2 linked regions of the Lonchura striata genome follow. The protein of the gene in region 2 binds, or shares a complex with, the protein of the main gene of each other region. Links are inferred from orthologs where the notes say so. Each region holds a gene or a part of one and is shown on either strand. Other genes may lie near its edges.

Region 1 (15,204 bases), on a different chromosome or scaffold from region 2:
AACACTTCTAGTGATATTAATCTTCCAGATTCACACAACTGAGCTTGACTGCAAGACAGACAGAAATAAGAGTACGAATGCTGCTATTTTTTTTAATATATGTAAGGTAAGCTGTCACAAAGTCACAGAGAAGTTCATGTTGCAAGCTATGTCAGGGAAGGAAGTATAGGTAAGACATCGTAAAACTCTTCTGAAATATACAAAATCATACATAAAATAACAACTAGTTTCTCAAAATTGAAGGAAAGAGAAGGTAGAGAAATTGTCACTTCAGTTCCCTCTTTACACATTAAATGCATTTACTCTATCAGGCTTAAGAAGCCCTGTTCTAGTAACAGCCCACAGACAACTGGACTCCAAATCAAAGGTTGCAAAACAAAGAGATCCCCCAAGATAAGAGCAAGATAAGCTTCAGTGAAATAGGGTTTTTTTCAACCTCAAGGATGACCAAAAGATACTCAAGAATATCCTTTGATATTTTTTCTTCATTTTTTTTCTTCATCAATCTATTAAGCAGATATGTGTGCTGAAGAGAAAGTTGGGAATTCTTAACCACTCATCAGAGTCCAACATGAATCATGAACATTGGGAAAGAAACATGGAACACAAGGACCAAGACAGACTTTCCAAGTGGATTTCGGCTGTGGGTTTCCTTGCTTTAACTTAGGGAAACATCTATTCCTAATATCATCACCAGGAGTTTATTTCCAGTATCATGACCAAACCACAAGCAAATTTAGGCTGGGAGAGACCACAGATGGTCCACAGCACAAACTTCTAGATAAAATAGGGTCAGCTTTTAAGTCAAGCCAGGTTTTTCACAGCCTCATTCATGTGAATTCTGAAAATCTCTAGAGGTGGAGGTACTAAAGGCAAGAAAACCATCCTGCTAAGCCCGTGTCTGGATAATTGTGAACTCAGTCAGTCATTACAAACCAATTACAAAAGCAGGTACTGGTCCTACACAGTGCTCTTCTTCCATGAGGATGAATTACCTACCCCACCCACTCCAGATCTCAAGTCAACACAGACAATAAAATCTTCCTCCACTTACGGTCAATGTTCAAACTGGCTTAGAGGACTCCTGCCTTCAAATTGTCATCCCTCCAGCAACAATAAAAGATAACTCAAGAGAGGAAGTTAATTGTTGTGTTATGGAATAAGAATACCACCTTGGGACCCTAAGGGCAAAGCCCAGCAGAACATGCTGAGAGCTTGGAGAGGAGACAAGTATGGTCTACTCCGTGAGAGGAGATGTTTTAGGGGTGACAAGCTGGACAAAAGAAATTTCTGCAGGAGGTCAGGTAGCTGTTGTTTGGTTAATGGCAGACTGAGAGATGTTATCTACCTCCAGAGAACACTGCTGTTTGCACTCAGTGACATTATTTAGGTGAGCATCCTGTTCAAGTTTCTAGCTATGCATCATCCTGAGAAGCTCTTCCCACAATTCCTCCTCTTTGCTACTAAAAACAAAACTGCCTTATTACCTTGCCAAGTAATAACTTCTGCTTCCAGCTACTGGCTCTCATTGTGGTTTGTCAGCCCAACTGAATAATCCATTATCTATAAAGACAGAAGCAATTTTTGATCTTTTCAATTCCACAGAAACCAAGAGTTCACCAAAATACAACCTGGAGACCAAGAAAGAAAAAAAATGTCAACTTTATACTTGAGCTTTTACTTATAAAATCTCATAGAGGGGTTGGGTTTTTCTGTTCCAAGACTAGTGTTGCCTGGCAGGATGCATCACACCCAGAACTACTGCACAAGAAGATTAATGTATGGTAGGAGCACGAGCTTCAAATAGATGCAAGGGACTATGGAGTCAAACCCTTCAATCCCTATTAACCCTTTAAATAAATGGCATGTTTTTTAAAACTGTGAGACACTGAATTCCAATTGATTTCTGTGGAACATGTCAGATGCCAGACTATCATTAGCAAAATCAATCTTTTCAATTAAGACTCGAGCATCAGTTACTGACATAAAGCCTTTTGCAAATTCAAAGCAAAGCAACCATGACCACAGACAGGAGGGGTCAGAAGACAGAGTGTGATCCTCCCTGACTGCAAGGAAATGAGCCTCTGTATGTAGAAGAACCTGAACATTACAAGAGCAGGAACTTAGAGCAATGCTATTCTGATTTTGTTTTTGTTCCTCTACATGTGCATTTTGGTATTCAAATTAAATTAGAGAAAATGGCAGAGAAAAATAATATGAATTAATTACATTTAAGTAGATGTTAGCAAGACAATCGTTGACTACTTCTACTTCTCTCTTGCAATTAAAGAGCTGTCTGGATTCTCTGTGCCTATTACCCTACAATTTTGTTGCCAACACAGGATCCTTTTATGGAGAAGACAGAACAGAAGAAACCAAGGGCGACAAGGAAGATTGGTCTTTCCTGGCATCATTCACATTACAGGTGGTGTTCCTAAAAACCTCAGTGTTAGGCTTCCTAGAAACAAGCACTGCAACTGTGCCAGCAATTCAGGCAAAATGGTAGCTATGCTCTTCTAAGGCAATATTGTTTGTATTTTTCAAGATTTGTGTGTTCTTGGTTAGGGAAAACACTGTGAAACACTAGTTAAATAACTGGTTTGAATAACCTCAGTGTAACCATGTGAAAGGTGGCTGAGAGCTGAATAGCACTGGCAGAGTCAAATTTGCTGCAGCTCAGAAAACAAAACTGCACAGAGTAGCTGTGGTGCAACAGGATTCAGCACAGATCAATGGTGTGACACTGGGGGGCATTCAGGGACAGCCCTTTTGGCAGACTGGCAAACGTCCTACATGCTAACACTCCATGGCTAAGCAAGATCCAGGTGAGGCTGGAGTAGGACAGTATGGAGAGAGATCTGCTGCTCCCAGACCTTTGTTCTTTTTTGCCTGCTGTATCAGTCCATATCCCAGCCCACAGAGTGAGCCACGTCTGAGAAAAAGGGACTTGTACACCAAGCACTTCTCATGCATCCTACATTGATTCCCAGAAAACCTGAGATGAGATCCAGAAATTTCAGACTTTACCAAGGAGGAGTTCAGCCCTTTTAACATATGGTCTAGAAGGCAAGCTTAAATCATGGTATTTGTAGAGCAAGGACTGATTAATTTCAGCTCTTGGGAGTAAACCCAGTATTTGCCTTGGCCACTCCCTGCACCTTTTTTTTTCTGACTGTCCCTGCTCAACTTTATGTACAAGCTCAAGCCACAAGGTTCTTATTTCCTGTATTAATGCAACTCTGACATGGATAGCCTTGCCCAGTCATCTTTTTCTGGGAGGAGCTCTCCCCCAGCATTGCCTCCTCTCCTGCACAGCTACCAGAACTGCAGAAGGAAGAAAAAGATGGAGTTTGGCCTCTGCTGCTTTCCTGGAAGCTATCTTATCAACTTTCATGAACTTTGTCTTAATCTCAGGTATATAAAATCTCAGGTATATAAAATACCACAACTGCTGGGATTTTCTTCTACTTTGTCTTCCTTATCATTTTCCTAGGTGACTTCGTCCCACAGAGGGAGAGAGGCAGTGCAGTCATCTGCACTCTCTGCAGGTAGGTCCATGTTTCTTGGCACAGAGATAAAGAGCAGGTTATTCACCAGACTGGAAGAAAACTCTTCAATAAATCAGAGCCCTGAAGGATGCTCAGAAGAAAGAGTGAGAGAGACACCAAACTTTGGGCACTGCTCCAGAAAATTTGAAACTGAGTGAAGCAGAGCAGGGAATAGGTCAACAAGGGAAGAGAGAACAGGGCTTGGAGCTGCACACTATCATTGGTCCTACTCTTGGCAGTGGTATGTCTCCAAGCTTTAGAAAGGGTTTTGCTTGGCTGAGGGTCAGAAAGTCCTATTTTTGAATTCCAAAGTGCTTTAGAAATAATAAGCATCAGCATTGCACTAATAGAGCCCTGCAGGGTGTATTTTCAAAATGAGGAATTGCTGGCAAGCCTGTAATACCACAGAGGGGAAATCCCTGGAAATATTAGGCCAGTCTAGCTTCTACTTACAAGCCAGTATAACCCTACGAGTATCAAAATCTCTCAGCCAATACAGCCGCGTCGATGATGTAAAGGTCTTTCCTGTTTCTCCTCAGGAGAGGCAGGAGGAGCGTCAGCATAATTGCAGTGTGCTGCAGGCTTGCCTCAGTCAGCACTGCAGCCAGAGCAGCTTAAAAACATGCACTTACAGGAAGCCATGTAATGACTACGTGTGAAACAGCTCACCACACCATCACTCTGGTGCCTTCTTGCCACAGGAGCAAGAGACCAGACTGTCTGTGCTCCTGCTGCACATCAAGAGATGGCCAGAAACAATTCTTTCAAAGCACAGCTGCTGTCCAGCCTAACCAGGGATGCCCTTGGCTCTGAGTAGCAGTTTAGTAGCAAGGTCCAGCAGCCACCCAGACAGCCCACTGGCCAACTGTAAAATCACTGGTGTTTATAACTGGGAGTCAGGAACATTCAGATAAGGTGCTGGCATTCTGTGGGGCTTTTTTGTTGAAGCAAACACTTCAAACAAACTTTCCTATGAGAACGGAGAACAGGGTGTGGCTGTCAGGGACCGGCTGAGTCCCCTTGAACCGGGCAAGAATGGATGGTGGGGAAATGATCTGAGACACTTTCCCTCCACAATGTTTCTTCACAGAGTCTCTGTCATACTCTGTCACATCCTATTCCCCAACAGTTTTCCTATCAAAATCCCTGCTGGGGAACTCAGGACCTAATAAGGTAGCATGAAGACTTCATGCTATGCAGCCACTGTGGATCAAGGAATACTAAAAAGTCAGAGGCAGCAAACTGACCACAATTTATGAGTAGCCTGCAAGGTCATGCATACAATCTAGCTTAGCCTGCCTCAAGGCAACTGTCTCCCACTCAAAGCATCACCTTTTTTCTGGGATTTACCAAAACTTTCAGTTCTCTCCCTAAGCCTCTTTAACAGTGAGTGCTTGGGCACCTGAAGCTTACAGCACAGGGACCTCCTCTGTACTCAACTATTCATCCCCAAAACACAGCTCACATCACATTTAGGTATCCGGTAGTCCAGACAGCCCACAGGCAAGAGAGAATTGCCCTTGCAGAGGCACCATAAACCTGTTCCAGAGTCAGCAGCCTGCCCGGTGCCAACCCACCTAGAAAGAGACTCACAGACCTAGGCAACAGAAAATCCACTCATTATCCAGCTACTAACAAATGGAGCAGACACAGAAACATGAAAATATTATCCATTACTGGCATTTGCAGAGTGAGAAATTTTCTCAGAAGGGACAAACCAACATACTTCAAAGACAAGCAGAAATTACCCAGGACGAAAAGGAGAATGAGAAATATACAACATGCAGAGATACTCTGAACTCTACCAGGAAATCCACCTCCTGCACAGACACAGCCAGGAGCCAGTTGGATCAATGGAATGGAGGTGATCAGTGCTGCTGGTCAGGCAGGCGCAGCTGCCACACAGGGCACAGTGGTTTCCCTTACCCCTGGACTTGCAAAATAGGCAAAGTCATGCTTAGGTGCTTTGCCTCAGAGGAAGAGGGACCAGGAGGAGATTAGGGCAGAGTTGGGAGTGCAGGAAGCAGAATTGTCTGGTTGTTTGTCCAAACATCACCAGTACCTGGGTCTCAAGTTTCCAGTCTAAGGCAACTCTACTGAGATAATGGGCTGTGATTCGTTGCTACAGAGTAACAGATTGTATGAATCTGAAATACAGCTCATCGAAGCTATAATAATAGATGTCATAATGCTAATTCACCAAACAATAGCAGCACAGATAAAAACACCTATATTTTTCCTGTCTCTAAAAAGCAACCAGCTCTTCCCTATTCTGCCTCCAAAAGCTCTAGAGCTTCCTGAAATGCTCACAACCAAAACATGAACTCCATTGTGTCTCCATCAGTCACTCCCTATCTCTGATCAAACCAGGAGAGATTAGAGCTCTCCAAAGAGGGCACAACCAGCCAGAGGAAGAACAAAGGGAACGGCAGGGCTACACAGGCTGCTCCTTTGTTAATCCACTGGGAAGCCTGCACTGGAGAAGCTTAAAGGCAACCATCAGTCAGCCTTCTCCCAAATGTTCCCTAAATCCTCTGCAGAAATCACTTCCCTTGAGCATCCAAGGGGCCAAAAGACGTTAAGCCTGTCCAGGTAAGTACCCTTTACAAGGACTGCAGCACAGTGTCTTCTTAGAAAGTATAAATGAAAAGGGCTGGGGCAGGGTGGCGTGGGAATCAGGAACAGACAGGATGCTCCAGAGCACTACAAGGAGAGCACCACTCCCTGCAAAGTGTTCACTGGCCCGGTGAGGCCAGTGCACATAGCTGGCATCACCGGGCCGTCGGTCTGCAAAGTGCTGTCTGTTACACATTCCTTTGCATCAGCCTGTCTTGACCTTTGACAGAGCTGCGGCATCAAAGCCAGACCCACGGAAGAAGCAGTCTTCAAAGCTGTGTTGCCTAAAAATATTCAGGGTGCCAGTTCCTCCTTCAGGGGGAAGTGTTACCAGGGGATCCCGGTGCCAGAGAGACACTGAAGTGGCTGTCATCACGCTCTGTGCAAGATGTAACCTACCCTGACATCAAGCACCCGAATTCCCCACAACTCCAGCAAAAAAGGCCAAATTTAACCCGTCGCACACACAGCCATAGGTGAGGCTTCTATATAAGCGAAGTTATTCAGATGGGAAATCGTGCCACCGGCGGCACTAACCAGCAGGGCTGACAGGAGACGCAGCCTTCCCGACTAGGCAGCAGGATGGCTCGGGTTGACAAGAAGCCCTGTTGCTCCACGCAACTCCGCCTGCAGACCCCGGGTCGGAGGGCTCTCACCGCGGGCCAGCTGCCAGTCCGCCACACCCCGCGCAGAAAATCCCGCCGGCAGATTCCTGCAGGAATAGCCCTGGCGCTACCGGCGAGCGAGAGACTCTTGCCCGCCGAGGGCGCGACCAGCATCGGCTGCCCGGACCGCGGCCAGCGGGAACGCCCCGCTCCCCCCGCAGGCGCGGGGGATGCCCGAGGCCCGGGCACCGGGCGGCCAAGGCATCCTCCGGCCGGCCGTGCCCCGGCGGCCGCGGCGACGGCCCCAGCTCCGCACAAAGCGGGGTGGGGCCGGAGGGAGCTGCGGCACCCCCGGCGCGAAGCGGGCAGAGCAGCTTCCCCGCCCCGCTCCCCGGCACCGCCGGGCTCCGCGGGCCCCGGCTGCGACAGGTGCCCGAGCCGGCCCTGCCCGCGCGTGTCCCGGCCCCACGCCCCGCACCGCTGCCCGCGCTCTCGTACCTTGCCGCTGGCGACGGGGCTCTGGACGTGCGCACGGGAGCCGCGCCGCGCCAGCCCGGCCCGGCCCGCCCGCCGTCCCCGCCCCGGCCCGCCCCCGCGCCGCGCCCCGGCCCGCCCCCGCGCCGCGCCCCGCGGCCGGGAGGTGCCGGCGGGCACCGGGCGCTGTCGCTTGCCCCGTGGAGCTCCGAGGAGCCTGCCCGGGGCCATCAGCTCCGCGGCTGTGCCCGGCCCCTGGGCGCAACCTCCCGTGGCCAGCGAGGGTTTGTCCTGGTGCCATGGCAGGAGAGAGCCCCTCCGCAAACACAGCAAGGTGCTCAAGTGTCTCTCCGCTACCCTGGGCTCCTAGAGCCATCCCACCCGGGCCGACATGCGCCATTCGCCGTCACCATCACCGCTGCAGGTGGATCCCCGACCATGTGCCCGGAGGCCCGGAGGTGAAAAGTGGTTGCGTGATTCTCCTACGAGATGGACCTGCCGGCACCAGAACGTTGCCGTCACTTGCAACGAGTACCACAGACCTTGCATTAATAAGCTCAGAGAGCTTTTGAGCGCTCTGTGCCATTTCCTCAGTGTCCCACCAGGTACCGCTCATTCTGAACACCGCACACACCCCTGCAACAGCCTTAATGTGACAGGCTTAGCTGGCAGCCTCTGGCTGTCTCGGCAGTCCCTGGCAGATGGAGAGACACTGCCCCAAAGCTGTAGGCCCTTTACTGATGGCATATGGGTTTAGGAAGCTTCTCACAGAGCTCACACTCAGACTTTGGGGTCAGCTAGTAGCTTGGCAGCACTGCAAACCTCCTCAGTGCCCTGAATGAGGAACTTAGTAAGCAGACAGCAGCAACCAAGATTAAATAGCAGAGGAGGTTTCTTTGGCCAGGTCACCTCCTCAGCTAACACTGCTCTGGTCCTGTCTGATTAATCAGGGTCTGAGACAGGTAGCTCATCTATATACCTTATTGCCATCACTCACTGGCTAGCAGAGGCAGCTCTGGGCTGAGCTAGGAGCTGTGACAAGACTGAGACTCAATGTCCTTCACAAGTGAGATGCTGCAGATCAGCGTAAGGGAACAGAAAGAAAAGCAAACATGCCCAAACAACAGCGTGGATGCTGTTGCCAATTACTAACTCCTCAAGGCACAGTACTATTTATCAAGAAGCTGTATATCAACCTTAGCAGATGTAGACAAAGACAGAAGGGGTAAAGGCCTCATGAACGCTTCCAAAAAAATGTCTCAAACACTCTCAAACAAAGCAACAGCAGGCAACATAGCAGGATTGAAATCACTGGAACAGTAAGAACTGCTGACAATGCCAAGAGAGAGCAGCAGGAAGTATGTCCTTAGCTGAAAGGTAATTCAATCAAGGGGAGATCATGACCACCAACCCAGTGACCACTTCCTCACTACAGTCCCCAACTCAAGTAAAAGAGGAGATTGCATGTGTGATTATGTCATTAGCATGCCTGTCAGGACATCTCAAGTTCTTGTGGAGAAGAAAAATTATGCCTGTGAAAAGACCAGATACACTGAATTCTTCAAGGGTGCAGAGCAGGATTTCAGAACGAACCAGCAACGACTAAGAGTGATCTTTATCCTTTGCCACCAGGTGCTAGCCTGGGACATTCCAGGGGACTGAGGCACTTCAGCAGATACACCACCAGACTGTTGCTGTTGAGGAAGGATGGGAATGAAGAGACTCTGACTAGATTAGAAGGTTGCTGAAAGTAAAACTCCGATTTATTCAAAATATACTGCTCTTTTATACAGAGCTTCGTGAGGACTAACTCCATTGGTTCTGAAGTGAAAACAACCCACAGCATTGATGCAAAGTGCTTGACATACAGTGATAGAACTTAACTATAAATAATGTGAAAAACAAGAGAGATAAAGAATTATTTACATTTTTCTTCAGCTTTTTCCCAGGCTAGAAACTCTCATTTTCTTTCTTTGACTAAATCTGAGTCCCACACCAGACAACTGTTGAGAAGCAATGTGCATGGATGGAGCACAGGAAGGAATTTCTGCGGACATGAATTGTGGATGCTAGTGCAGCAGCTGTCCTAGGCCTGCCCTGCCTATGAGAATTGAGATGACTTCTGGTAGCCCTCAGGATCCTCGCAGTGTGTGCTCACATGTTGCCTATATAGAGTTGTACAAGACTGAGAGGTCAGGTACTGATACACAGAGGATTTCCAGTGCTTCCTTTAACACATGTTGTGCTACAGCCCTGAGTAAGCTGTAGAAAATTGCATGCAGGATTGACAGGGAGAAAAAGACAGATTTGTTTAAGGTCTTTGGGGGGAAAGATTTCTTCTACCTACAGCTCTGCCCACTGTAGGCATCTGGCTATGCTATACATGTGCAAATGCCATTCATGAGAGCTGTTTTAGGTGCTGACAAAGTGAATGGTTTGGGACTCCCCAGTCCCCTTTGCAGTCTTAAACTGGGTGGCTGAGACTGGGGTGTCCTTGGTGATTGGAGTGAATGCTATCTCTGTTGTGTTCCCTGAGATATCTCAACTGGTCATCCAGCAGCAACAGTCTGGCTGAGCGACCCTGGTGACAGCCTGTGTCCACAGAAGTGGCTTCTGGGAAAGAGTACTCCCATACAACCCTTATGCTGTGTAAAGGGCCTCCAGCAGCCATCATGTTTGTGCTTTCTGTTGAGATCCAGCAGCAGAAGTTGGAGACACTGCAGCAAACACTAAACTCTGACTTATCCCTGCTTGCAGAGGACAAGGGTCCTGACGTGTCTCTGGTAGTTCCGCATGGACACATGCAGGAAGCTGCTAATTAGTTATGACCAATTAGCTTAATCTTTAAATAAACTTCACTGGTTCCTATTTTTCCTCCTGTAATTATTTCCAGCCCCATGCAGCACACTATCACTAACTGTGCCACATGTACGCAGCTGCAGGTGGGCATGGAGGGCACAACACCCAGCTTGGGACTGATTTAAAGCACCATTGCAATGTTAGAGCAAAACTGGAAGCCTTTTCAGAGTTTGTGGCATTGGCATTTCCCATCAAGGTGCAAGAGTTTTTATGATGTTGATAAATGTTATTAGAAGATGCAGCAAAAATATAAATTGGTTTTAATTTTGTTTTGGTACTTTTCCTCCCTGCAAAATTGCTGCCCATAGACAATACTTTTCTATTAACAAAATGATTTTGTAAAAGAAGAACATATAGGCGCTATTTTCAGCATGGAATTGTAATGTTGGGCTGAATACTATTTTTTCCCAAATGATAAGGACGGTAGACCAGAACATTTTACTCTTATTAAATAAAGGGAACAATGTAGTCTTGGAGGAGTAGACAAAAAAACTCATGCAAAACATAAGATGCCAGCTTAGCTTTGCAAGGCTGACAAAGCTGAAGTTATGCAAAGCAACAATATTGCACTTACTCAAAATGAGGGTTGAGGAACAGCCACCTAAAGAGGATACTGGACATTGAAGACAAACCCTGAAGAGCTTAGGGACATCCAATAAGGGGTGCAACTATGTAAAATAAACACACATACATCAAGTAAGCAGGGATAGCCAACGAGTGTGTCATCAGCGTGTATGATTAAAAACTCAGTTTTGAGCATTTACCCAATGCCCAGGGCATACTTACTTAGAAGAAGAATTCTCTGAGTGACCAGAACACTGTGATAAAGAAAGCTGCTTTCTAATACTCAAAACTGTGTTAGAAAGTTTTAATCTGGACAATTTTGGTATTACAAGGGGGCTTGAAATTTAATTCTGCTTACCCTGGATATTGCTTCAAGTCTCCAAGCTTCCAACAGCTTGACACCAGAATGTGCCAGAGGTTCTGTGTCATAAAAATTAAGCTCAAAGCCAGAGCAGATACTGATCCAAGAGCTGGAGTCTCAAAGACAGACTTTGTACTTCAGAGGAAGCAGTCATTTAATAACAAGGAGAAATAAGGACTTCATCTCAAAGGTAGTGGACCATGTGACCAAAGCAAACATCTAGCTGCAGCAGAGTATGGTACCTCTCACCCCAAACGTGTCATGGTTAGCAATACCTTCTCTTCCACTGACCAACCACTGTGCTGTTTTCCCCTCGGGAGAGCTCCTGAGGTTGAACAGAAAGCACATGGATAATCTCATGATTTAGCATCTCCAGTCTCTGACTGAACTCTAGGAAAGAAGTTAAAATATCTTGCATGGCATTATATCTGCTGCAGCACTGGCTTGGCCATGGGAAAGTGGTTTGTCTTCTTGCACTTGGCATGTCCATAGACCAACCAGAGCTAATATTTTGTAAAGGAGCTCTTAGCACTGGAAGATGGCTGGAGAAATCTCAGCATCATCTCAGGCCACAAGTGAGCTCTTAAATGGGAAGAGAGCAAGCCCAAGGTCTTGTGTCTGTGATGATGGCAGGAAGTTGCCCAGCCTGCAGACTGGAAAAGAAACCTCAGCACTGTGGTATAGTTCCTGCTACAGCGTGTTGTTGCTATCCTCCCATGGAAAAATGCCTTGCCCCTTAGCTCTCACCTTCACCCTGGGCGAGATGCTCAAGCTTAGGCTAAACATTAACCCAGAAACAACCTCCCCAGTCATGCCTCTTGCCACTCTGGCAGCACACCAGAATACAGGGCTTAGCTGCAGCATATGAAGGTATAGATCCAGGCCAAAAAGGGAAGCTTTACAGACTCTTCTATTGGCAGCTCAGGGAATTATTTAGCCAGCAGTGGCTTTATGTGTGTTTGGCACCACTCCACCAATTCATCCTCTCAAACCCCATGAATTTTTGGTGGCCACAAGATCCTGCAACAAAGTGAACTTACAAGTTAATGGCATATCATAGGGAGGAGGGTGGGTGTGGAAATCAAAACCCTCCTTTTTAGGGTTGGAGCTGGTATGCCAAGATTTAGGTTAATTCAGAGATAGAAAGCTTAATTTCACAAATAATGTTACACATACAGCAAAGCTCAGCAAAGTCTGGTTCTAGGTAGAAAGACACCTGTTTTATGCACAGGTGCCAGCACAGGCAGAAGGAGCTGCTGGGCTGCATGACTAGGTCAAACTGTTTCCCAGCCACAACAGTTGGCAGTGGCAGCACAAATCATTCCTGAGCACTTCATGCAGAGGTAACCAAGAGATTCAAAACACCCATGGCATTGACTGATAGTCACTGAAGGTCTTGCAGGGGCTTGAGGTATTTGTGTCTGGCCCAACTGCAATTTTGTGACCTGAGTTCAGTGCTTTTCAGTACTACTGAAGTTTATGAAGCAGAAGGAAAGTAGATGAGAGCCCATGAGGACATGTCAGCTTGGCTCCAAGGTGCAGGTCTTTATAGGCTTTGCAGACATTCCTACATCCACCACAGTTTAATAAAGAATGACCACAACTGGTTATCAATAGGACCAGAGAAGATAGTCCTCAGCAAATATATTTGGACTAAAACCAAGAGCTGAGTAAGACACAAAAGAAAAGAAACTTTAAAACAACCCTCACATGTCCTTCCCTTCCAATTTAATTTTAAAATTATTTTCAGAATTCTCCATCAGGATCAGTATCTTGATCTTTAGGTCTATGTCAGATGACTTTATGTATCACACAGATCATAGTCAGGCTGTGGTTTAGTCTAATAATACATGTTTCAAATGCCTTTATTATTAAACATAAGGGCAAATCAGGAGGAAAGATTCTTAATCTGTTGCAGAAAGCTCTAGGAAACAAAATTGTAAGTAAACATCTAATTTTCATGGTCTTGATTTAGAAGATAATGTCTGTAACAATGGCTAAATTCTGTGTGCACTCATGAACATACGTCTATAAACAGATTAGCAGTATAATATGTGAAGAAAAACCTTCTGCCTTTTAGACTTCTCTAGATGGCATACTTTTTAAATGAGCTTATTTTTTTCTTTGAGATACTGTAGCAGGCTTCCAGTAACATTTCCTTCTCATCCCAGACTTTTAATGTGTGCAGCTCTCAGTGACCTTCAGGGGACCTGTCCACTCGTCCCAAAAATTTCACTTCCACTTTGATTACTTCTCTGCCATGTGGTTGACCTCCACAGGTCTCTCCCATCTCAGTCTTCTATAAGGCATTGAAAGTTGCTGATTTGTCCAGTGAGGCAGACCATGTATCTCAGGTGAATAGACAACAATTCCACTAGAGTCTGTCATCTTGGCTACAGCCCAAGAAGAAAGGGGCTGAGAACACTGTGGGCTATGAATTCCTCCCTTTCCTTCCTCTCTACAAGTACTGACAACTTGAAGGGCTGGGTTATTAACCACTAGATAGTTAAAGAAAGCATAAGCCATTTGGGTTCAAGGTCAGTCTAAAAACATAGAGCCCCCGCCCCTTACAGCAGTGTCTGCTGCATGCTATCTGTGCCAGCACTGCAGGTACACCTGGAGTAATACACCACTCAGCAGGAAAGTGAGGCAGCAGGATCTGGCATCATGTTAAGGAAAAATAAGTTGTATTTATCTAAACAGTTGACTCATCCTGGGTCAGTGGAGAGCTGAGCTGCACAGGCAGGGGATGGGTGAGCCTGGAGGCAGGGCAGAAGGCTGTCAGACCCCATTTCCAGAGGCAGATAGGGTATCTCTGTGTGCTAGACCCATGGAGGCCAGCTCCTTGGTTCAAGGGACATTAATGTTTTTTTCTAAAGAATATCAAGTCATCTTTTGTGACCTTGTTCCCAGGGTTTTCAGGTTCACTACCAGCCATATGCCATGGACAAAACACCTTCAATATCATAAACTCCTATAGAAAAACCTTTGTCCCTCTCATAATGAATGGAACTCAGAGACAGGGATATCAATGTGAAAACCCAGCACAGGAGGACTGTAACCATGGGGCAGGAGATGGCCAGGAGTGAGACTATCAGAAAATCCAGTCATCCCCAGTAAAAGTCCACATAACACTTGGCCCTGCCTACAGGAAGGCTGGTTTCATACAGAGATTAGAGTTCCTCCATGGAGCAAACTCACCAGCATAGAGTGATACCAGGGCCTAAAAGCTAAACATGAGGAGAGAAAGCTCACAATATTTCCCAGCAAAGCAGAAGACACCTTGTGCTCCCATGAACTTCCTACAGGAAGAACTCTACTCTCCCACGATCTGTTTCCTGGTCCCAGCCTGCATCCCATGGGCTGATGTCCTCCAGCTTTCAGAACCTCCACAGACCCAACACTCATCTGGAGACAGTGTCTTGATCAGTAACAATGTTAAAAACACACTCTCCTGGCAGGCTAGACAATGAAGGCACCATGCTGTTTAAGAGAAGTTTTTTCCTGACCAGTTCTGAAGCTTTAGGTAACAAGGGAGTGTTCTTGGTTCGTTATCTCTGGACATTTTACTTGTAGTAAAGACCTCATTCAAGCTTCCATCCAAAAATGAATAAAAGCCCTGCTTGGTCTTTTGCATCATGTTAGTTCCTGTCATGACACCACAACTGATATTTCTTCTGCACCCTCAGCTGTAATCCTGAACTGCACAGGACAGGATGGGCTAAATGGGGAGAAATATAGAAGAGGATTAAACTCCCCTGACACCTTCCAATCCATTATAAATCTGACTTGGTCTCCAAAATGGTCCCATACAGCCTTGCTTATTGGGGTACATGAGCTCCTGTGACCACGCTTCCTCCTGTGGTCCATTTCTCACTGACAGTTGCTACAGATGATCTTCTGCAGTATGGGAGGGAAGTGATGATGAACTCTCTTTTTGTTAGCTCTCTTCTTCCTCTTCACTAACTACCTCCTCCAAGTCCTGAGGTCCCTGCTCTGCTCTCTCTTTCACATAGGCTGCCTTGATCTGTTCAAGTTCACGCAGCTCTGCCTCCAGCTCTTCTCTGTGCATTGACCGACGGTTCCTCAGCAGTTTCATGGGGAAGGGGTTTAAGTCATTGAAGGCAATGTTCATCAGCTTCCTACAATAGAAAGGACAGCTGTGGTCAACTTATTT
Region 2 (14,541 bases):
AGTTAAAACTGTTGCTTTGGTTTGTCATCATTCATTGTTTGCAGTACAGCTGCTTAATGACAGGATGTGGGAAATGAAAAGTTTTTTATGTCCTAGGAGACTTTTTAAAATAAAAATTCCTGAGTGACGAAGGAGAAGAAGGTGTCTGCATGGAAACTCTGGGTCTCAGTGCTGAGACACAGCCTGGATGGAGTGAGCCTTCCCCCAGCAAGGCTCAGGAGATTGAAGTTTTGCTCTCAGCTTTAAAAATAACCTGCTGTGTAAATCCAGGCAGTATCCGTGCCTCAGCTTGCTTTGCTTACATTACACATCTGCTGTAGTGCCTTGTAGAACAGGACTCATGTTTGATAGGAAGAAATTAAAAATAAAAGACAAATGCCATGGATCTGTGTGGGGCCACTTCTTTGCAAAACACCCCATGGCCAATTAAGTTAGCAAATGTTACATATTGAACCTAAATACAGAGGGATGGAGGGAGTTTATCCATATGGACCATGAGCAAGCAGATGAAATGTTTTTGAGATGGACAGGGCACTTGTAGAGGAGACTTCATTAAGCCAGTAAGGAAGGAGACAACCCCAAGTATGCCAAGACCTGGAGTGTGTGGAGATGAATTTTTTATTTTTAGGTACATTTTAATGATCTTAATTTTCATACAGGCCTCAGTGGAGCTCCACCCCTTCTGCCTTAATCACTTCTAATTGACAGTGCAGAATTACCAGTGGGTGCATGATCTTTGCTCCCAGTAGGAACTCTCTACGTGGGTGCACTGCACATCATGTAAGCAAACAGGGAAGGTGATGGGTTTGGAGGGACATGCATTTCATTTGGGTTTTAAACTCATTTCTAGTAGGTACAGCCCTTGAAGGGCCACTGATGTGTATGTGGCCAACAAGTCTGCATAATTGCTAGCCCATCCCCTGCTTCACTCTGCCTCTAGAAATACTCTCCTTCCTCTTCTATGTGTATTTATTGAGTCATGTCCTGAACTATGTGGAATCAGTGTGGAATTTGCCTTAGGTTCCTCTCTGCTGGCCCAGGGCTTCTCAGCAGCAAAATTAGAGGTGCTGGGGTTGGGATGAAACCACTTCTGCTTATCAAAGAGCAAGAAAGAGACAACTCGCAGAGCTGTGCTCTCTGCCCTAAGTGCTGCAGGAGGATTGGGGAGTGTCTGAAATCCCTGTGGTGTGCTTCCCACATACCTGGGATTCTCCGTGTTTTACAATCTCAGATAAATTGGATGGTTTTTTTAGGATTATTTGATATATTGCAGTAATCTCACCATGCTCATCACCACGCTCTAGGTCCAGAAGCTGGGTTTTTTTTCTGTGTTTTTGCTTCTATCCCTTGAAAATTTCTATTTCCAACAAGCCGACTGTTATCTCACTTTTGGTATTTTAAGTTCTGTGGCACAAAAAGGCTGACTCACAGAAAGCCATGTTGTAGGAAATATTGGCTCAACTGAGGAAATAATTCTCAGTTCATTCTTCCACTATGAGATTTGGGGTTGTTTGTTTTTTATTTGGTTGGTTTTTGTTGTTGTTGTTGAGGTGGTTTTTTTTTTGTGTGTGTGTGTGTTTTTCTTTTTTTTTCTTTTTTTTTTTTTTTGTGTATGTGAGTGTTTTGGTCTCATGGTATGGCACACATCAAGCGCTGTGAAATATTGACAGCTATTCCTAAATGCACTGCTCTACCCAGTGTGATCTTTCTTTTTGCACATACCCTGAAGTGTTTTATGTACCTGCTAGGAACGTTACACAGGATGCTCGCACAGGTCATAAAATTTGGTCTCGTATTGGAAATGTTTTGTGGGAATGTGCTGCTTAATCTACTGCAGCCGCTCACAGTTACTGTCACAGAGAGGGGGTGAAGATTACAGCCAGCTTGGGGAAGTTTGATACCTTATCAGAAATCCTCAAGAATAAAACTGAAAGAAGTGGGTGTTCAATAAAATGTAGATAATTGACTGAAAAAAGGGGAAATACGGTGAAGTCATCCTTTTGGCTGGATTTAATGCTGCTGTCAGTTCCCTGTGAGTACCTGCAGTCACCCTCTGCTAAGGGATTGAGTGGAATAAATCCTGGGTGTGCTTTAATTGAGTGTTAAGCACATCAGTGATGTGCAGTGAAAGACAAGGCTGGAGATCCAGGATGGAATCCTTGCCCAGCGGGGCGGGGAAACAAAAACAACCCAACAACTACAAAACCTCTATTGACTTCAAGGGCTTTAATCACTGGAGCAAGTTGTCTAATAACAACATACTGCAGGGTGTGCTTTGGCACTGCCACCTTCATCATTCATTTTATGCTTAATATGCTAGAAAACAATGTTTAACATCTGGTATAAGTGGATATAGCATATCTGTCTACAAGGAAGCAGCTGATGCAAATAATTTAAGAAATAAAAACAGGGGACTTCAAGTGTACCTATTAATATTTTTTCTACACTTTTTTGACACTATCATTAGCAAAACCTAATTAGAAGGTGTTTTTCAACAACTGCTGTCCTCAAGGCATAATGTATGGCCCTCACATAAATAATATTATCATCTTAAAAATACTTCATAAACACTAATTTACTCTCCCAAATTTCTTGTGAGATAGATAATTATGTGTTAACAATGATATAATCACCATTAGTAGCTGTGTTAGTCCTCTCTTTTTATAGATGGAAGCTCATGCCCTGATAATAAACAGTTTGCTGAAGGCCACATGAAGAGTCTTCAGGTCTCTGATTGGGGAAGGAATCAGTCCTGGCTCTGTCCTCCCCTCACATAAAAAACAGAACAATGTTGGTATAATGAAAGAAAAGCAGGTTTTAAATATGGGCAAGAAAGAGAAATTTTCTTCAGGTTGGCTGGATTATTGGACTGAGAGGAAATATTAAAGAAGTATGTGACAGAGATCAAGGTAAATAACAAATATTATACCTTTTGTACTTGTGCCTTTATTTACTCTGCAGTAATTACACCAAGTAATGTAGATTACATTATGAATCACTATGACGCTTACAAGACTGAATTTTTTGCAACCACATCCTGAGCCTGTGAGATAATCTGTTTGATCTCCTACGAGGACCAGATACGTCTTGCTTGAAACTTCAGAAGCATGCCAGAGCAGCTGGGACACACCCTTTTTCGTAACTGTGTTAAAATAAAACAAGTTTGGATTTGCTCAGCCACTGTAGGATGTAACATCTGAGTTACATGCTCGCTGTGAAGTGACTTTTGCCATAACCTCAGAGTTAACAGGGCCTCTTCTGCATTTCTGTCTGAGAAGCAACACTTTCTTTCCATCTTAAAAAATGTGCATATTTACATACGCAAAAAAAACTCCAAACCCAAAACCAAAAAAAACTTGCAACAAGAAAAAAAACCCAATCCTTAGCAAATTATTAAAGCCAAAACACAAATTTGTTCCCATGCCTGTAACAACCCCAGTTCACACTGAAGCTACAGTGCTGCACCTGCAATAACTAAACCCCCTGAGGTCAGTGTGTGTCACTTCCCAGAGTGAGGTCTGTACCAGATCTGTCCAGGCTGTTCACTCATTTTTCTCCTCTTCTTGTGTGAAACCTCCACCAGTCCTCCTGGGGCTGGATTGTGGATAGTGAGGGATGACATTCAGCTTTTATTTTGTCCACCCTCTTGTACAGGAACCACAGTGGGAGCTCAGGTGGGCAGGGACATTCTCTGCCACAAATAACAGCCCCTCCATGGGCAAGAAGCCCTGGGACTGCAGGTTTTCCTCTCCAAAAAAAAAAAAAAAAGGATCATGTGGCCCAGTAGAAGTCAAGGAGCAGGAATCTGGTGCAGGGTGCTTGAAGGAGCTCTGGCAGTGGGCATCTCTTATTTTCATTTAAAAACCCGTTCCTCTGGCACTGATCTGGAAGCTCTCCTTGGTGTGACACGTTCACACACACATCTGTGCTTCTCTTACAGCCTTCAGGGAATGATGGGCCACTGGGTGGGAAGTTGGCAGCAATTAAAGTGAGGCCAGGCTGTTGGTAGGCATCCCCATCTTGCAGCAGTCCTGACCTTGCTCATCTGTACTATTTTTTAGGATCCTGTGGTAGATTTTGAAAGTAGTAACGTGTCCAGCAGCTGTGTCCAGCAGAAGCTCCGTGCTCCAGGGAGGTGCTGAACAGTTCACATGCATGAACACCGAGTGAGAGCTGAACATGAGCACCGTAACTTCTATCCTGAAACTTCTGAAGGAAACACTTCATGGCTTTGGATCACACAGCTCAGCAACTGCCTGTGAATGAGGGACTGTTCACCTGGTCATGCTCTTGCTCTGCTCTTGCTGTTTATTCTGGGAAGCAGAAGCCTCCCCAATCGATCTGGAAAGTGTATCAACGAGATGATTGTTTTTGGATTGACTCCTCCCTGGCTCATGGAGCCCTACAGGGTTATCTCTGTGCGTATGCTTTAAGGCAACTAATGAAACTAGTGGTACTGCTATGTTGCTCATCAGTGTTGGACATTTTTAACCATATATGATCAATAAATGATGAATCACCAATGAATTTATGTTAAGGTGGGGCAGAAGATGCTCCCTGCTCAGGAACATGTCATCTCCTTGCAAAGAGTCATTGTCAGCAGCCTCAAAAGGAATAGAACCACTGTCTTCCAACCGTGAACCTCTGTTTCCTTTCTCAGTATGCACAATACAAATAAAAATAATTTAGAGGGTTTTTTTTTTCCTTAATGTTGACATCTCTCTCGAATTGAGGGGGAAAGAAAAGGTCTTAAGAATATGAAGGTCTCTGGGCCGAACTGCTCAGTGCTTCCGACTCAGAGGAAGTCTTGGTGGAATTGCTAGGGTGTGGGAGTACCTACTCATTAGGATTAAAGTGCCCTTGTGGTTTTCATTAATCCACTTTGGGATGCAAAGTGACAACAGCATCTTTGTGGGGGATCCATCCGTGTGGGGAGCCTGGTCCCCCCTCTGCCCTGCCAAACCCAGAGCTGCCCCGTGGGAGCCTGGTGGCTCTCCTGTTTAAATCGACAGGGTTTAAGTCCCGCTGGTTTAAATATCAGGTTTAACTGGGGCTTGCCTGCATATCAAAGGCACTATGGTAATTTTTATGAGGGAAAGTGCGGAGGGAAAGTGTTTGCCTGGTGCTGTCCAGGCTCCTCCCTGCTCCCTGCTCAGCGCGGTGCTGAGTCACTGCCCTTCCTCACCAGGAGCCTGCACCCTCCTGGTGCTGTGTTTGTGCAGGATGGGCTCAGCACCCCAGCCTGGGGGAGCCCCTGCAGAAACAAGAGCTAAAAATGAACAAAAAGCCTTCCTGATTCGCTGGTATTTATTTACGTGCTGCCGTGCGTGGTGGGCTCCACTCTGGCACCTGGATTGTGTGTGGACTGGGCTTGAACTTTTCTGGAGCCAGCCATCTGCTTCCTGCTGGTGTGTTGGTGCCTCGCTGCGCCTTCAGTCTCGCTCCAATCTGCACAAGATTTATGGATGGATATTATATAGATTTAACACAATAGCATGGGTTTTATTATTTGCTGGAAAATGTTAATAAACCCCAAGTATTACAGATGCATTTTAATCCCTGAAGTGATTTTTGAGTAGAATGCATGAATTATTAATTGTTGTTATTGTTATTATTGCAGTGCATACCTACCTCACAGGGCATTGTGAGGATTAATTAATTCTTGTAAAGATGTAAAAGGCCGTATAGGTGTCAAGGGTTATGACTAAAGTGCTTTGAAAATGGAAACCACTCTGCAAGTGCCAAGTATTATTATTTATGGAGTCCAGGCAGTGTGCTTGGTGCTGTGCAAACACTGGGCCAGTTATTGCAAATATTTGCTTATATGTGCTTGGTAGGCCGAGCACTCCCTGTTACAAGTCATTTCAACTATTTTAAGGATGCGTCTTAAAAATATGGGCATGAGAAGACTTTCCAGTCATTGGGATGATGGATCCACTGGCTGCGAGCAGCTGTGTCACTGAAGAACTTCAGAAAGCGTGCTTTTATTCAAACACACAAGTGAACCGAGACCTCGGATCTGCTCCAGTTATACATCTGAAAGTTAGGGTTTTGTCCAATCTTTCTTGCTGCTTTGGGAAGTGTAACAAGAGTTATTGTTTAGAAGTGGCTCTCCCAGAGGGCAAAGCCAACTCCCTGAGCTCAGCTCGCTCACTGAACAATCTGCTGTAAACCACAACCTGCTCAACTGCCCCGTGTTGCCCAACATCCGTTCTTGGAAACCTCTGAAAGGGAGAGCCTCCTTCCCATACGCTCTGGAAGTGTCCCCTGTAGCCCTGAATCCAGCTGCACATTTGGGCAAGAGAACTGCAAAGGCTAAAGCTCATAACAGACAGTGAGAGGCGTTTGTGCAGTCCTGCGGGGTGTTTGCCTTCGTGAAACAAGGGAAACCAGAACAAAACAGATGAGGGATGACTATTAAAAGCACAAATCCACCAGAATTCACTTTGTAGATTCTGCAGAACAGAACTTCTCGGGAAATTGCCCAGTTGAGCACATCACCATGTTAAAAAAGAGAGCCTGGCACCCCAGAGCCGCGACCGAACATTTGGAGAACACCAGACCACGGAAACCTTCAGCCAGATGACTTCAGCTCAGCACGTTGTCGCTGCTCGGCAGATGGATGGGAAGACAGTGTTTGTAGTTCCTGAGGGCCAAACAACGCACACTTCAGGGATTTTCCCTCCCCCGTTTCTCACACAAGCTTTCTGAATGTCACACCTCTCATTCCCATTTCATGGACTTCTCAGATATCCTTCTCTAGGCCCCTGCTGTCCCCCAGTCCCCCAGAAGAATTCCCTTTCCTCTTGCCTTAGGCTATGTGCATATTCCCATTTCCCTTCCTCCACACACTGTTACTGCTTATCTTCTTTCACCTGGGAAATAAATCAGAGTATCAGAAGGTCCAACTCCATTAGAAGCACGGACAGATCTAAGATTATAATGTGTGAATGTGTTAATGAGTGCATTGCCACTTTTCCTTTCCCTCTTAAATTTCTTGACTTTCAGCAAATTTTGGAGCTAGACTGGATATAGTGTTCAAAACTATTGCCTCTTTACATACCTGAAGCAGACAGCCTCCACACCATTAGTGAGAAGAGAAAGTTGCTCACTTGGGACACCAAAGTCATTACACAAATAAATGCTGGACACCAAGATTTGCAATTACAAATGTGCTTCCTGGCTTCCTAGAGAGATTTATGTTTCTCTACATGACTTTGGCCTGTATTTAAATATTTTTCTTCAGAAAGGAAGGAAAAACGCATGGGTTTGACCCTGAAGAAAATGAGTACTATAAGAGGATTCTACACCCAGAGACCTACCCAAAGCTTTGTGGAGTGGATGGACTCCATCTGCTTGTGTAATGATGCTCAGGTAGGCAAAATCTGCCTATGGTATATCCCAGGTGTTAGACTGAAGGTAAAATCCAGAACTGGTGCCTTAGGACTAGCATAATTCTCTGGCAATGGTCTATTCACAAAAAAAAAAAAAAGAAAAAAAAAAAAAAAAGAAGACGAAAGAAAAAAGACACTACATTCATGACCAGCTCTTTATGCAGTGCCAGCTGCAGCGAAATCAAGCTCTGAAATTGAGTGTGGTGATGTGGAGATGTGGACACCCTGTTTGAGCAGCACCAGAGCTGGGCTGGCGTGTGTGGAGCTGGGATAACATCGGATGTTTCCATCGGATCTGTGCAGGGTTTGTGGTCACTGGGACTCTGCACGGGTGCCAATGTCCGGACATGAGAGTGCTGGACCGTCGCCCAAGAGCGTGAAATGCTCTTGCAAAACCATTTTAAGATGGAAAGGGCTGCCTGGTGACGAATGTGGTTTTGATTAACAAAGCTCGCTTTCAAAAACAAACAATGCGGCCCTATAGATGACAAACAGCATTTCAATTGTAAAAATGAGCAGCACCCAGGTAGGCCATTGCGTTAGTGCTGCGGAGGATTATTTTCATGAAAGGAGAGGGCAGAGGCGGTAGCGCGGTGCCCACACGGGGCTGGACCCCGGTGCCAGGTGCCATCGCCAACCGCGACGGGCCGCGAGAGGCAAAACCACCATGTTACATCCTGCATTTACATAAGCCCTGTCGGCAGCGCAGTTTAACGTCTTTCCCAGAAAAAGCTCCGCGGCCTGGGCCCGCCGTGCCCGGCCGCCTCCCTCCGCACGGCCGGGGAAGGCGGCGGCCCGCGGGCTCCCGTCCGAGCCCCGCGCCGGGCTCCTGCGGCCGGCCCGGCCGCTCCTCCTCGCCTGGCCTCGCCTCCCGAGGCTCGCCGCTTCCCTTCCTCCTTCCTTCCCTCCCTTCCCTCCCTTCCCTTCCCTCCGCCGGCGCCCATTTCGGCGCGGCCGGGCACCCGGAGTGTCTGCGGGCCGCCGGCTGCTCCGCGCCGCTTGGCTCCTTCCCCCAGTAACAGCTCCCACATTCCGCCCCGATCCCTCCTCAATCTCAATCACACACACACATATTACTTTTTTTTTTTTTTTTCCCCTCCTTCCTCGGGACTTAATCTCCAGTCCCCCCCCACCCGCCCTCCCCACCCTCCCCTCCCCCGGCCCCTGGCTCGGATATAATTGAATATCACAGCGCTACGCGCTGGGTATTTTTTTTCCTTCCTCCTCCTGTGTGTGTGTGGTGGTTTTGTTGGTTTTTTTTTTCCTGGTGTTTTTTTTTTTCTCCTCCTCCTCCTCTCGGTGTGGACACCTTAAAAATACATATATATATGTGTGTGTATATATATAAATATAATCGATAACTATACGCGTGTACACACACACACGCTCACACTGGCAGGGATGTGCGCGTATATACACGCGGCGGTATAAAACACACGGGAGGAGGAGAGACAATCCAGGGTGAATTCCTCGTGCCTCCGTTCCCTGGGAAAGGGGGAGCAGCCGCTCGCAAGGTAAGAACCGGGGGGCTCCGAGCCCCGGGGGCGGGCAGGGGCCGGGGATGGGGTGGGGGCGGCCGCCCTGTTTGTGTCCGTGCGGGCGGGAGGGGGACGGGGCTCCTCTGGACCCCCCGTTGTTATTAGTATGTGTATATATACATGCATAGATAGATATGCAGACACATTTATGTATATATACACATATTCACCCCTCCCCCACCCCGCGCCGCTGGCTTCCCCTCCCCCACCCGCCTTCATTTTTTTTTAAAAAAAAAAAGAAGAAAAGGTTTAATGGAGCGGGGGATGGGGGGGACACCGGCCTCGGCAGCGAATGGCACACGGGAGCCATGGCGAGAGGCCTATTTTTAGCCCGATTTGTGGGGAAGAGCGGCTTCCCCTCCCCCCCTTCCCGCATATTTACTTGGGGGGAGGGGAAGGGGGGAGGGCCCGGTCGGGATGGGGGAGGGGAGGCCCTTCCCCTCCCCCGCTCCCCGGAGTTCTCCCCCATCCCGACTCCCCGTTGCTGGGGAGGGGATACACCCCCACCCCCGGGCCATTCCCGATGTTCACCCCCCCAGAGCCAAGTTATTGATCAGTTTTCCGGCGGAATTCGGGCTGGAACATGCGGTGCCCCGCGGTGGCAGGGAGCGGGCCCGCTTCGGGGCATAAAATAAGCTTTTATTCTCCCATTTCACAGCGTCTCTCCTTGCCAGGGCTTATCCCCGTCCGAAACCCTGGTGTAAATTGTGTCTTGCATCAGTTAGAGGGGCTCGCACGGTTGATGCAGTGTGTACTGTTTTATTGGTGGAGGATTTAAGTCCTGAAATATGTGGCTTGTTATTGTTGTACCCTCGAAAGGGTTAAAATTTATCGTGTTGTTCCAGGTGAATTTAATCTTTCATCACCGAATTTCCTTTTAAGGCAGCTTGACAGAATAAAAGTCTCTCCCTCGCTTGTCTTTATCCCCAGAACAGCAAAACTTTGTCTGTGCTTTATGGCAGGGGCTGGTTGCTGCAGATGACACGTGAGTCTGGAGGAAAGTTTGGTTTGTAGGTCGCTGTGTAGGAAAGTGAAGTTTGCTGGTGAAGTTTTTACTACTCTCCAGTGTGCTCGACTTCCTCGTTTTCCTGTCTGTGTAAATCAAATTCCTAACTGATTTATGGGGGAGGGGATCACAAAACATATTCCTTCCTTATTGTTAAGGCATGGGAGGCATGATCAGGAGAAACAGGTCTTTGTTGCATAAAAAAAAGAGTTTTGTAGGCTTGTCTGACTTGCTTTGCTCTCCTTCTGTGCTAAAATAAATGTCTGAGCACGTTGTGTGCTTTAAAAAGGTTCTTTACTGTTGATGGTCTCTGCCCTTTGGGTGTTGTGCGTTGTGCTCCTTTAGCATCAAGGGCACCATATGCAAAGTTGGTATTTGGGGTTTGGTTGTACCTGGGCTTTGGGGCAGTTTCCAGCCTTCTTCCTGCTCTGAGTAACCTGAAGGCTTGTCCACGTGAGGCTCACATTGTATTTGGGGCCTTCCTTTGGACATGTGTGTTAAAGGGCTTTTTGGAATATGTTCCAAATGAGGACTGGACTGCAAGCTCCCGTGTGTGTCCTTAAATTTAAGTGAGTGGGTATGTGCTTGTGGATGAGCTCTGAAGGGGTTTTTGTCCTTATCCATTGGAAAAAGGGGCTGGGATGGTGCTTAGGCCACAGGTGGTGCCCTGTAATTGATTGAAACAAACTTTCTGTGGTTTTCTCTAGTGTTTTTTCCCCCTTTGGTTTTGTTTAAGGTTTAATGGAATGATAACATTTTGTATTATTTACCTAAGGTCACCTGAGCCACTGCACTGTTGCTATCTTAAGGTTTCTTGGGGGAAGTTGGATTTTTCTCCATGAGAACTGTGTTTTCTGGTACTCTATCTTGGGAGCTTGGTGGCCTGCCTCCCAAACTGTTATTGGGAACACCTGGAGAGCACTTAGCTCTCATTCCTTGAGGAAAAGAGAAGGAAATGTAATTTAAATGTATGAGAAGGGTTGGGGTTTGGCTTTTGGGCTTTATAATTTATTTTTAAGACTTTGCAAGAGTGTATAGTTTTTGTTTGTTTGAACATGCACAGCCAGAATGTGTGTTTGTAGCATAAAGAACACAATAATTACAGAAGATTCTGTTGCTTAAGCTTTTTTTCCTCTTTCAAACAGGTAGTTAAAACTTTTTTTCTTGTGAGTTTCTTTTTAAATATGAATACTTCTTTCAGTTTTACTCTATATATGGTAATTATTGATGTTTGTGTAATGCTTTGAAGTTGTAAGGCAGGGTATAAGCGCTAAGTACCCAACAGCAATACTTCATAGTCATTTTCCCATCATGAAAGAGTTTGATCCTTAAAAGTGCTAGAGCCCTAGGCATAAAGAGGCTCTGGACGGATTAGGGGAAATGGCCAAAATTGCTGATAATGTTGTTTTAAGTTAGGAAGAACAGATCTGAATAACGTAAAGCAAACTGAGTTATTTTACCTAACTTCATTTTGGTCTGGAATTTAATAGAATGTGGACTTCACATTTGAGTCAGAATGTGTTTGCTGTTATAAGTTTTGTAGTGGCAGTAAAGACCCACATCCTACAAGGATGTAATCGTGCAGAAGTCAGGAAGTCTTGTAAAACACACAGCTTTGTGAACATCAGTGGTCTCGTTCAGCTGAATGAGCTCTGCAGCTCTCTGTGAAGTTGCTCCCAGGAGTTGGGTGTGTTTTGTGTTAGTGGTGGGCAGTAAGATGTGAATCTTTCATTACACCGATGCTATTTTGACAGAACAGCACTGTCAAGTGTTTTGGGAAGGCTGAGGCAGTGGCAGGTGTGGCACCTTTTCATCACTAATTCCTCTGCTGGTTGGGAGCCCCGGGTGACAGTCACCCCTCCAGCTTTTGCTTGCTTTGCCTGTCTCTTCTGTCCCCTGGTCCCACAGCTGCTGAAGATGGTGGTGCCTGTGTGAATTCTGACACCTTGCTGGCGAGGACACTGCTGGCAGGCGGAGGAGAGGCAGACACAAGTCTCCCGCCAGCTCTTCCCCTTCCCAGCTGGGACAGGGTGGTGGTGAAGTGGTCTGGTCTGTGCTTTGGAGAGGAGGGCAAGGACAGGGTGTGCTGCAGGTCGGTGTTGTGTCAGTACTGCAATATTGTGATACTGAGATGTATCGTACCCAAGTGTGACTCATTCATAATCTAATTCACGTTGTTTTTATTGAGTGGTGTGATTTTGGTCGGTGTGCTGACCATCCTCGCTGGGTGTGTGTTTGCACATGCCTGCACGCAGAGTTCAGAGTGTAATGATGACTGTATTTAGTGCCCTAAACATCAGCTCATACAAGTAGCTGCAGGTTGGGGGGAGAAGTGAAAGTGTGTGTGTGCACACTCTGTAATTAGGCATGTTTGGCTCCTGCAAAAAGTAGCTGCTCTGAGAATATACTCATTGCATGCTCATTTTTAAATACTAATTTAAGTGTTTGTGTTAGGTGAAGAAGTGTCAGGAGCTTCCCATTAGGAACTATGATTGACAGCTCTTCTCTCTTTTTGAGTTGCATTGCTGCATTAATGTAGTAGTTTCAAATTAACAGGTGATAAAAAACCATTTCTATGTTTCTGCTATTGATTTAGCTACCCCCGTCCCAAATGTGCTCAGTTTTTTAAGTGCTGAAGTATGAAGTTAGATGGTCTTAATTTCTGTAAAGTCACATAATGACGACTGACTTTACTAGAAAAAGGTTCAAGTGATCCCGAGCAGAGTAGATGGAGACTGCTTTATTCATTTCATAATTGGTTTCTTCCGAGATAAAGTGTGACAGTGAAATGAGGAATAAGGAATATCTTTTGATATGAAATTGTAGGGGAATATATTGGCTTTCCTCTAATTTTGCAAAATTGAATTAGCTAACTGGAGGTAAGAAGCAGTGAAAATGAGGCAGCGTAGCTTTCACTTTTGGAGAGCTGATAGCTTGAGTGAAAAGGTTTGGAAGTCTGGTCTGGAATTTGCCAATTTGTATGAAAACTGGCACACTTCTTAGGGTTCCGTCTTGTGGTATCTAATTCAAGATGAGAAGGCCCTTTGGCTCCTTCTCATAATGAAAACAAGGTTGCACTTGTTTATACAAAATGCCCTAGAGTGTTAGTGGCCTTGTTTGAGCTCAGGTTAAGTGTTTATTTGGTTCAGGAGGATCTACAGAACCATAAGTCACCTTACACTCTGAAACATTTGTCTTTAATACCTTACCACTTACCTTTCTGTGGCATCCTTTAGACTTAACTTTTTATATTGATAAGGAGCCTTAAAAATAATTCTGCCTTGATAAGAAGTAAGTGGTCATTCCAACCTGGAGGTTGTGTAATTGTAGGGGAAAATGTACGCACTGGTTGGGTGTGTAGGATTTGCTGGCTTGGCTAACCAAGGAGTGAAATTGCTGGTGTTGCAGCTCACACCTGCTCGCTTGCTTCTTGGATGGGCTGATTGCAGGGAAGACTTCTGAGTGTATTTCCTTACCTGTAGAAATAGTGATCACAAAGTCTGGTGAATTGGCACAGCTTTCTGAAGAACTCATTTAAAGAAGCTCCCAAGTGATGAGGGGGAGTGTTATGGAATTGTCTTGGCCAATATATGCAACATCTTTCAGAGAGTCTCAGTTTACTTTGGATATAATTGTGCATGGCCGAACTCAGTGCTAAGTGGAGATGCTGAGGTCCTTTGGAATATGCTAGCTAGGATGTCAGAAGCAGCATCCCTAGGTATGCTCTCGGCCTAATACACCATTTTTTGAGGATGAATAATGCAGGCAGATTGGGTGTCAGCCTGGCTGTGTGGTTCAGTGCCTGCCCATGGCCCTTCCTGGTGTCCTCTGCATCCTGCTTGCCTCAGGAGCTGGAGGTATGGTGGCAGTGGGGATCTGGTCCCTGAATAAGTGCTGTAGTTGTGCTTGGTGCAAGCATGACTCCTCTTAAGAAGAGTATAAGCTGGCATCTGCATCTCTAAAGTAAGATATTAATAGTCTTATTTTCAAAGATGCTGAGTCCCCGCAGTTGCATGTGAAGTTGGCAGTCTCTGTGTGTGCTTAGCATTTCTAAAAATCAACTCTTGTGTGGTTTGCAGGCTTCTGCAAACTCCCGTGAGGGTGTAGTTTCTGTTCCTGGGAGCAGTATTAGTAAAAGGCTATGTTGTGTGCTCTGACTTGTGTTTATTGTTGTAATTCTGAAGTCTCCATGTTGCAGAGGAGCAATCTTGCTTACTAGTAATGTCTAGCAGTAAAAAATCAGAATCATCCAGAGAAAACAGTTGTGTGGGTTTTCTTGTTTTATGATCTGAGGCTGTGTTCAGTGTCAGTGTGTTACAGACACTCTACAACCATGTGCCATATGCAGACACGCTGGGTGGCATTTGGGATCACTCGAGGTGCTGGAAGTTTGAGCTGGTGGGGTGTGAGTAGCAGAGCTTCCCTTCCCCTTCAGTGGGGCAAGAAATAGTTTTGCCAGCCTGGCAGGGCAGGTGGGCAGCTGTAGTAATGCTGTAGTAATGTTGGTGCTCCTTTTAACCCGTTGTGGGTTTGGGGAATGATTCAGTCTCTTCTCTGGCTGCACACAGAGTTCCCCCTCAGCCCCACTGATGTCAGGCTGATG

Evidence for each region.
Region 1: TBL1XR1 (region 2) and CORO2A share a complex: the UniProt entries of both Homo sapiens proteins name them as parts of the N-Cor repressor complex. The link is inferred for Lonchura striata from reciprocal best matches to the Homo sapiens genes TBL1XR1 and CORO2A.

What each region holds. Positions count from the first base shown.
Region 1 is NC_134642.1:48,082,060-48,097,263, reverse strand, and holds the start of CORO2A (coronin-2A), read right to left. Parts: upstream 7,337-15,204; 5' UTR 7,268-7,336; intron 1-7,267. Other genes in the region: TBC1D2 (TBC1 domain family member 2A), read right to left, coding at 14,968-15,169.
Region 2 is NC_134612.1:20,894,549-20,909,089, forward strand, and holds the start of TBL1XR1 (F-box-like/WD repeat-containing protein TBL1XR1), read left to right. Parts: upstream 1-8,559; 5' UTR 8,560-8,908; intron 8,909-9,859; exon of another isoform or gene 9,860-9,917; intron 9,918-14,541. UniProt on the Homo sapiens protein: F-box-like protein involved in the recruitment of the ubiquitin/19S proteasome complex to nuclear receptor-regulated transcription units. Plays an essential role in transcription activation mediated by nuclear receptors.